2 linked regions of the Caenorhabditis elegans genome follow. The protein of the gene in region 1 interacts with the protein of each later gene in a pairwise test. Each region holds a gene or a part of one and is shown in the gene's direction. Other genes may lie near its edges.

What was found.
Region 2: the proteins of gfat-1 (region 1) and sax-7 interact in a two-hybrid assay, tested with the Caenorhabditis elegans proteins (one study listed by BioGRID).

Annotation. Positions count from the first base shown.
Region 1 is NC_003280.10:11,591,892-11,596,995, reverse strand, and holds gfat-1 (glutamine--fructose-6-phosphate transaminase (isomerizing)), read left to right. Parts: upstream 1-1,586; 5' UTR 1,587-1,613; coding exon 1,614-2,289; intron 2,290-2,363; coding exon 2,364-2,402; intron 2,403-2,531; coding exon 2,532-2,564; intron 2,565-2,615; coding exon 2,616-2,672; intron 2,673-2,925; coding exon 2,926-3,206; intron 3,207-3,254; coding exon 3,255-4,097; intron 4,098-4,142; coding exon 4,143-4,346; intron 4,347-4,399; coding exon 4,400-4,444; 3' UTR 4,445-4,603; downstream 4,604-5,104. Other genes in the region: npp-5 (Nuclear pore complex protein 5), read left to right, coding at 1-71; F07A11.1 (uncharacterized protein), read left to right, coding at 4,936-5,008.
Region 2 is NC_003282.8:8,060,816-8,065,685, forward strand, and holds the start of sax-7 (Neuroglian), read left to right. Parts: upstream 1-1,843; 5' UTR 1,844-1,916; coding exon 1,917-1,965; intron 1,966-2,285; coding exon 2,286-2,463; intron 2,464-2,799; coding exon 2,800-2,876; intron 2,877-3,214; coding exon 3,215-3,507; intron 3,508-4,870.

The DNA of each region.
Region 1 (5,104 bases):
TCGGGCTCGATCAGGAATGGATGGTTTTCATCAAAGCTTTCTACGCAGAACTCAATCTCAAAGTCGAATAATTTTTATTTCATTGTTTTTTTGTTTGATACCTGTTTTGATTACCATTTTTTATCACTATATTTCTGACTTCTTTCTCATTTTTTTTAAATTTCCGGTCGATCTTTCACAGACACGATTGTATCCGTGCAGTATTTGAAAATAACAAATTTTTCTGATTTCTGTGGGTTTCACGTGAAGATCTTCTTCAAGAAGAGGTCATCAGATTGCGGAAGATCTATATTACCGATCTGACGCAAGACTACCATGTATATTTGGAAAGGAAAAATTTTCTGTGCAGAGGTTGATGGTTTAAATTTTGATTTAGATATTTTCTTCATTTAATTTGAAAATTTCCATGCCTGAAAATATCCTCAGTGAGGATTCTCACCTACCGTATACTTAAAGGCGCACACCTGTCTCAACCGGAGCGTTGCGAGACCCGCGGCATCAAACTACACACTGTGTTTTGATGATCTTTCGATCGTTCTCGAAAAAAGAAAGAGCAGAGTTCATTAAAACAAATGGCGGCAAAATGTCTATAAAGGCGAGTCGTTCTCTTCATTATCTTTTGATTTTCGATGTGTTCTCCTTATTGTTTTGTTCGTTGACCCCTTATCTGCATTCTCACCGCTACGCAACGTATATTTAACGTCAGCTTTTTCGCAGAAAATTTTTCTATATTCTCATGCAAATTTACTGTTCTCAATGCTGGACGTGTCGCTTGTGCTTTGATCTCAAATCTAACATTTTCCCTTCAAATATTTTATATCTGCAACGGTGGGGCAGAAATTTAAAAGTTGACCTTTGTCAGCCAACTGCTATCAGTTATCAGTTGGCCGGAGATCTTTCTATTTTCACTTTCTTGCAACGTATTCAGACATTTTTTGATGAATCGGTTCACAGAATTTTCGTCCTGATGTTGGTCAGTGATGCGCCAGCCGGAAATTAGAACCGTATGCCGTTATCAATTTTTCAAAGGCTAAAAAGTTATGAGGTGTATTTATTGTTTTAACACCTGACCTGCTAGTAGGAAGGAAATTAATTTTATGTTTAAATTGAAATGAAAGAGTCGAGCTCCACGTGTCGTCTCCCTAGTTTCTCTATTCCTCTTCTTCTCCGCCTATCTCTCGGCTTCTCTCCTTTCGCGCTCCTCTCACAATTCCTCCTAATCGTGCTGTTTTTGGGGTGGTCCAACACGGCAAAAAAGGCAGCAAAAAGTGTCTGCCGTCTCGTGCCTCTTTCTTATTGAAAGGGCACGAGAGAATAGTATCAAGAGGCTCCTCGTTCGGGCCGTTGAAGATGGTATCTGGTGCTTCGGCGGAGACGGGAGGAGCGGCCGTTTCTCGGGTCATCACAGCCCATTCCTTCTAATGTTTACACTGAACTTGTCGCAATCCCTCCTCTAAATCTCATTCATCCATTCATTCATATTCGTGTTATGTGTTCGCTTTTACATAATTTCCATTTTCACCACGTTTCTCCTCAAATTTGCATTATTTAAATCTCTGCCTTTTCATAAACATTTATAATTTTCAGGGTATCACCTATACTAACCATCCAAAATGTGCGGAATTTTCGCCTACCTCAACTTCCTGACACCGAAAAAACGATCGGAAATCGTGGATATTTTAGTCCAAGGATTGCAAAGAATGGAATACAGAGGCTACGACTCTGCAGGAATCGCCATCGACGGATCCAATGAGATCGAATCACCACATTCTTCGGTAGCACTTCTGCGAAAAGCTGGAAAGGTGTCCGTGCTCAGCGATTTCATCAAGGAGAGCTCCAGCGATCTTGACATGGATATGGAGTACAACATTCACTGCGGAATTGCACACACTCGCTGGGCAACTCACGGATCTCCACGTGATGTCAATTCCCATCCACATCGCAGTAACGACAAGAATGAGTTCCTCGTTGTTCACAATGGAATCATTACGAATTATCGTGAAATCAAGGAGTATCTCGAGAAGAAGGGACACAAGTTTGAGTCGGAGACCGACACGGAAGTCATCGCGAAGCTTGCGCAACACATTCACGATCGTTACCCGGATTTCTCGTTCCGGCAACTTGTGGAGACTGTCATTCAACAGTTGGAAGGAGCTTTCGCTCTTGCATTCAAGTCATCTCGATTCCCAGGACAACTCGTTGCTTCAAGACGTGGATCCCCATTGTTGGTCGGTATCAAGAGCAACTCCAGACTCCAGACAAATCACTTCCCAGTCTCTTTCTCTAAAGGTTAGTTCTTGAAACTTTTGGTGCAATTTCTAAGTCGTTTCGAGGCGGACATTCAAAAATTTCATACATTTTAGATGCTGGGTGGAAATGGGGAGACGAAAAACAAACTGATGGTAAATTTAAAAATGCTATTCCCTGGGTTTATTTTGGTTGCCTGAAATGCTTAATCACTGCTTAACTAACCTAACCTTGCATGATCTTTAAAAAAATCTATTTTATTAACAATCAATATGATTTTTCAGGACGTCGGTTCATGTCCAACCACGCTACTCATTGTAAGTTTACCATTTTCCAACCTTCTTCTGATATTAAATTCAATTTTTCAGTGCGAGATGAGACATCGTTCGTCGAGACTCCAAACAACATTCTGGACCTGTCAATCGGTATGGGTTCCCACTTTCATATGAATTTTTAATAGCATATTAGGTTCCCAAGATGTTTGCAACTTGCCGGTGAATGTAGATGATTCCCAGAGAAGATTGTCAGCGTTTATGAATTCTCTGAACGGTAGAAATTTGAAGCATGATTATTCTTGAACTCTTTCTCCACTTCTAAATCCTTGGGCGAATTAACTAACTCATCTCAATATCCCCAATCTCAAATTTTAAGTGAAACGTATTAATTCCATTTTTTCAGCCGTTCGTTCGTCTAATGGATCTGCTAAGATGGAGATCTCCGACAGCACGACGGCCGTCCGTCCATTCGACTCCGACGATTGGGAGGTTGAATACTTCGTCGCTTCGGATGCTGCTGCCATCATTGAGCATACCAAGCAAGTCCTTTTCCTAGAGGATGATGACGTTGCATTCGTCGAGGATGGAGCTCTGACTATCCATCGCATCTCTCGACACGCTGACAATGGAGAGCAAAAGAGAGAAGTAAAGCTTCTCGAGATGGAGCTTCAGGAGATCATGAAGGTTTGCATAGGAAAATGGGAATAACTTGAATAAAAACATATTTTTCAGGGATCTTTCAAAACGTACATGCAGAAGGAGATTTTCGAGCAACCGGATTCGGTAGTCAACACAATGCGTGGACGTGTTCTTCCATCGGGACAAGTCGTTCTAGGAGGAATCAAAGAGTACCTTCCTGATATCAAGCGTTGCCGCCGTCTGATTATGGTAGCCTGTGGAACATCCTATCACTCTGCCATCGCATGCCGTCAGATCCTTGAAGAACTTTCTGAGCTGCCAGTCGTCGTCGAACTTGCTTCTGACTTCTTGGATCGTGAAACCCCAATCTTCCGTGATGATGTATGTCTCTTCATTTCTCAAAGTGGAGAGACTGCCGATACGTTGTTGGCTCTCAGATACTGCAAGCCACGTGGAGCTCTCACAATTGGAGTCACCAACACTGTCGGATCATCCATTTGCCGTGAATCTCATTGCGGAATTCACATCAACGCCGGACCGGAAATTGGAGTCGCCTCTACCAAGGCCTACACTTCTCAGATCCTATCCTTGCTTATGTTTGCTCTCACCCTCTCCGATGACCGAATCTCCATGGCTAAGAGACGTGAAGAGATCATTGACGCTCTCAACGATCTTCCAGAACTTATCCGCGAAGTTCTCCAACTCGACGAGAAAGTTCTTGATATCGCCAAACAAATCTACAAGGAGAAATCACTTCTCATCATGGGAAGAGGATTGAACTTTGCCACATGCCTCGAAGGAGCTCTCAAGATCAAGGAGCTTTCCTACATGCATTGCGAAGGAATCATGTCTGGAGAACTGAAGCACGGTCCACTTGCCATGGTCGATGAGTTCCTCAGCATCTGCATGGTTGTTTGTAACGATCGCGTATACAAGGTAAGAATGAGCTGAATTGTTTTTTGATTGAAATCATTTTTTCAGAAATCGTTGAATGCACTTCAACAAGTCGTTGCTCGCAAAGGAGCTCCAATCATCATTGCCGACTGCACCGTTCCAGAAGGCGATCTCGCTGGAATGAAGCATATTCTTCGTGTACCAAAAACTGTTGATTGTGTCCAAAACATTCTCACAGTCATTCCACTCCAGCTACTCTCATATCACATTGCTGAGCTCAATGGAGCTAATGTAAGTTTACAATCGTCTTAATCTTGAAATGTACACGTATAATCTATTTTCAGGTCGACCGACCCCGCAACTTGGCCAAGTCAGTTACCGTCGAGTAAAGCGTCCCGTCTTCTGCCCAAACCACCCCAAGTGCCTTCTCACCATCTCGTCTTTTCTCCCACTCTGTGATTATATTTCCCTCACCAATTGCCTTCCCTAATTTATTGCATGTAATCTGGTATACCCAGCGATTCGACCAATAAAATGTGGTTTCCGGTATGCAGTGCATACTATGCACTTGTTGAGCATTGAGAAAACTGGGAACACCTCTAGTATGCTGGGATCGAAGAAGTTTCAACTTTTCATAAGCAAAATTCAAACTTGTAGGCTGAGTAAAAGTAAATATAAATAAAACTGAATGTTTACCTCTTTTCCGGTGCAGATCTGCTTTTCGTAGATACCTACGGAAGTTTAGTTGGTGCAGTGAAGTGTGCACTAATTCTGAATCTCGGAGGGAGCTCACCCGCCAACAAGTCATTATATTAGTTTAGCGTTTTTCAATTTTCTAGGACACCTCCTATTTATATAAATACTATTATAATTATTGCGGATGCGGTACGGAAAAGTCTACTTTTATGATCGTATGGGAAATCGAGAGCCGAGTGAAGCTGATAAGATAAGAGGTTTGAATCATGTGAAGTGAATATAGATAGAAATTATGTTTCTGGGTCCTGGAACAAACAAAAGAAATGGTGTTATTTTCTTGAAAAGACGTGTGC
Region 2 (4,870 bases), on another chromosome or scaffold:
CTTCTGTCCTTTTTGTTTTATTACCGTCCCGACCGACCGCTGTAGAAAACGGAAGATACCCTCTTTTTCCCCTACCCATCCTTATATTGATACATCTAAAGCGTGCCTTCTCATTTCTCTATAGCAACTTTATTTAATAATTCATTCTTTTTGATGTTCACTGCTGTTGAAGCTACTCTCTATGTTCTGCTTGATCTGCTCATCGTGGCGGTGTTCATGAAAGCAAGATTGATGTGTTATGAATAATGAGGAAAAGAGAGTGAACTGCCAAATCCAAATTTTATGAATTTGGAGAAATAACCAGACCTCTTTTGGCTCAGAGACACACTCATTTTACGACCTTCTTCCGTGACATATAGAGAGTAATGCGGACGAAAGGATTTCGAGAAATCTGTCCGATCGACTTAGCACAATGCTCCGGAAGTATATAGTCTGTGGTGTCACAGGTTTTTTTTTCGCATCAAAAATTTCATGTCTCCAAGTCGATGAAACTGAATTGTATTTTTTTATTTTAGAAATAATTTTTTTAAAAAAAATTTTTAAATCGCGTTATCCAAAGAAAAAACGAATAATTCAATAGAGAAACTAGGCTTGATCGAAAGGTAGACCAGAAATTTTGCAATCGTTTCGAGACCCGAGCATGTGCGCTCTGTTGCGCGCCTTTGCTACAGTACTTGCATTTGTTTTGTTTCGCCGCCAAAACGATTTTTAACGAAAACTCTGAATTTTCTCTGTTTTTCTAGTGTTTTTACTTGTAAAACTACAAAATTTATTAGTCTAAAAGTAAATTAAAACATCTGAAAGTCGTTTTCGATTCGAAATAACGTTTAAATCACATTTTCCGTTAAAAACCTGATCATGTTCCCGTTTTGAATGTTTCAGACGCGCTGTGTTGAAAATTTAGCTTTTTTCGGATAAAAATCACCTATTTTCTGTCGTAAATGATTTGTGGCCCAGAATCTTTGAAGTCTTGTTATTCTTTTACCCACGCATCCATACGTCTCATAGGTGACATCTCGTGCGTAGAACATTTTGAGCAACAAAAATCGAGTAGCGTGACGCGAACGCATTTTTCTTTTTTCCTTTTCTTTCCTGAAAACGTCCTTGAAGAACGGCCGCTTCTGAAGAATGGAGCAGCTCTCGTTCTGATTGCAAAAAAAAACGAGACAACCGGTAAAGTACAATGCCATCGGCTACCGCCATGCGCAGATTGCGTCGGTTCTGTGTGTGTGTGTGTGTGTGTGTGTGTGGACTGTCAACGAATACATCTATCACCCCCGTTGACTTCTCCTCATGCCCTTCTTTTCTCATCTTGCATTCCATTTTTTCCACCTTATGTTTTTGTCTGTACTTTTTTAAAAATAACTTTTTTTGTTGATAATTTTCGAAACTTTTTTCTCTTAATTTTATTTTCGTAATGAATCAAACAACAGATTTAATTTCTTATTCTCATCGTTAATCCAACGTGCTTCCTCATGGTCACTTTTCGGTCAGCGGGGTAGATTCCCATGAATTCTCGCTTTTTTTCATTTGCATAATCGGGAAAAGGAGAAACCTAGACAAAATAAGAAGTTCTTTATTTCATTCTTCTGATTTTAAAGTCTTTCGTTTATTTTCCGGTTTTAATGTAATCCCAATTTTCGAAATTTTAAAGATGAATCAGATTTTGTACGAGAATAGTTTCATTTGCACAAGTAGTAGTACAATTATTTTCTTGAAAATTGAGGGAAGATTCTATTTTTTCAAACTAATTCATGTTTGTTTAATTCTTAACGTTTCCTTTTTTTTCATTTCTCGTTGTTTTTTCTCCGAACTTCTCTCAAAATTCTTCGCAAGCTTTATTCCAATTTCAGGATAGAAAAAGAGTATCGAACGAAGTTCGACGCGATTCTAGATCACGTCGAAAGACCACCATCATGAGGAGCTTCATATTCCTCTTGTTACTCACTGGCCACATATCATCAGGTGAGAATTCTTTTGACGTCGAGGACATCATATCGCTTCGAAAATTGTTTGATTGGCGATTCATGTTGACATATTTGATTGCAACATCATTTTACGCCCTTTTTTGTTGTTTTTTAATGGCAAAAATGAAAATAAATATGGAATCAAGATATTCAAAGCCTTTTTATAGAAAAAAATTGTAAATAAATAATATTGAGAAAAACGCTGAAAAGCATTTGATGTGCTCAAATTTATGAACAAAAAACAAATATTTCTATAACAGAAACAATTGTCAAATATCCATATATATGTAGCAACATTTCTAATAAAAACTGTTTCAGGCAGCATAGATTGGTCAGCGATCGAAACTCCTCCACAATTTGTTCACGATAAGAATGCAGATACCGTTTACTTTAAAGTCGAAAAAAGTGGAATGAGTGATGAATCGGCGAAAAATACGCCCGGTAATCTGCTCGAACAAACGATTCATTGCTATGCAAATGGAAATCCAAGGCCTTCGTAAGTTTTTTGTAATGTTTCTGAAAAAGTAAAATTTAGAAAAAAAAATGAATCTTCAAATATCTTAAAATAATTTTTATTGAAAATTAGACTTGCATGCAATACTAATTGGGAAAGATACGGTAGTTTCTATCTAAATTTGAAAAAAAATTCGAAGTCTTTTTACTGCTTCTAAAATTGCTTTAAAATCCTTTTGGCAGTTTTGGTGGAGCATTAAAAAATTTGAAAATTCAACATTATGCTCTACGAACAGTTTCCATTTGCATTTTTATTTTTCAACTTCCAGAATTAAAAAGTGTTCAAAATATGTTTTTTATACTATTTTCTTTATTACAGATATCGTTGGAAAAAGGATGGTAAGACGTTCCTGCCGTCCATGTTTCCGGAGAAAGTTGTTCAGAAACCAGGAGAAGGTGAATATTTTTTGTTGTTGTAAAAATCTAAAATTGAGAGAATATGGAACATTTTTGAAATTAAAAAGATGGAGTAACTGAATAGTTAAATGTTTGTTTCAAATTATTATTCTGATTTGAAAAAAGTTCACTTCATTTAAATATAAACAAATTTGTTTTATTTTTGTGCAATTATAAAACTCCCACATGCAGGAAAAACAGGAAAACAGTTTTTCCTCAAATCCAAAAAAAATCGAAATTTTCGGTTAGGCCTAAAAACCGAGAAATATTGATTTCTCATTAAAAAAAAGTTCGGTTTTTCAGAAAACCTGTTCTGAAATAAATATGACATTTTCCAGGAAGCCTTGTGTTCTCCCGTCTTGATGAATCTGATGCCGGATTATATCAATGTGAAGCTGAAAATTCGAATGGAACAGCTGTTGATCGTCCTGTCCGTGTACAAGAAACATGGATTCGTCATTTCAAAACTGCGGAACCAGAAGTTGTAGTTGTCGAAGTTGGAGATCCGTACCAAAGAAATTGTTCTCCACCTGCTAGTAATCCATACGCAAGAGTTTATTGGATTCTTATGGGAAAAGAACCGGGACATTTCGAAACTATCAGTAGTAGTCATATTTCTAGCAATGAACAAGTGAGTGATAACAGTTTTTTTTTTCATTCTTTTTACAGATCGTTTCTCGTAACCTCATTGTGCCAAGAAAACTTTTCTCATTCACTCCCTGTTCTTTGTAAACCAAAATCAAACAATTTTCATAGAATTGAACGATTTTTGGAGAAAGATTGAAGAAAAAACTATTCAGTGCTTCTGGCTGTATCGTATTCAATTTTTCGAAAAAAAAATAACTAGACGAATAATCTCTGCGATTAAGTTTCAAATTTGCTGCTCGTTCCAATCTTCAAATACTAAAGAAAACTTCAATTTCCATGTATTTTTTTTCAATTAAAATCAAATCAAACAGAAGTTTTTAAAGTGTTTCGATTCTATATTTTGAAATTGTAACTCGTGGATGATTTCGACGATTCTCGTTTTTAAAGCCAATTCGAAAACTACTTTCCCATTTTCCCAAGCCAAATTGATTTTTTTTGACAACATCTAAAGCATTTTTGTTTCGTTCTCACGAAAAGTACGTTTGAAAATATAGCATATGATGGTCAGCTTTAAACACTTATTTCGACGAATTGATAATTTATCCGACAAATATGCAATCAAATTATATTTTTACATTTGGCATTTTTATGCTAAAATTTCCTGTTGTTAAGTTGGTATCTGTTTCTAGTGTACGTACTAACAATTAGGTCCTTCTGTCGATTCTTGCCTTCTATTCATACATCATACCAATATACATCGCCCTTCTCACTATTATTATATTCTATGTCCAAATTCTATTGTAACCCCTATAATACAGACCCTTTTCCCGACGTCTCCATCAGATGAATAAGTTTTTTTTTGCGTTACAACAACACCTGTCCACTTCTATTTGTACCTTTCCGCCACCATTTTTCCGTTGCGTAATTCAGTAGTTTGCAACATTTTTTCCGTTGTTATTACGTCTCCATCGCAATTAGTTAGACATACCCCCGGAGGTTGAAGGATGAGAAATGACCTTCTGAAGTTTAACCAGTTGAAATGAGAATATTTTGAAGTGGATAGAAAGACATTAGCTGCTCCTAAGAAGTAACCCTTTGAGCTTTATCCTCCATTCACACATTGTGAAAAGTGGCCTCACATAATATGAACGAAGATGATGATACTGGTGTGAACCTATTTGGAGAGGAGAGAACGGGAATGAGAGAAACGAAGAAAAAACAGATTAGCTGCTGTTAAGTGGTGGTTTTGTCGTCTTAATTTGATTGAAATTTTTTGACGAGACCTTTCAATTGTCTCCATTTTTTTGTTTTAAATGATGAAAAAGCTTACTTTTTTAGCGAATCAAAAAGCAGTTGTTTTTGTATGCTTTTAAAAATAGTTTTTATATTAGTCTTGCACTTTTACG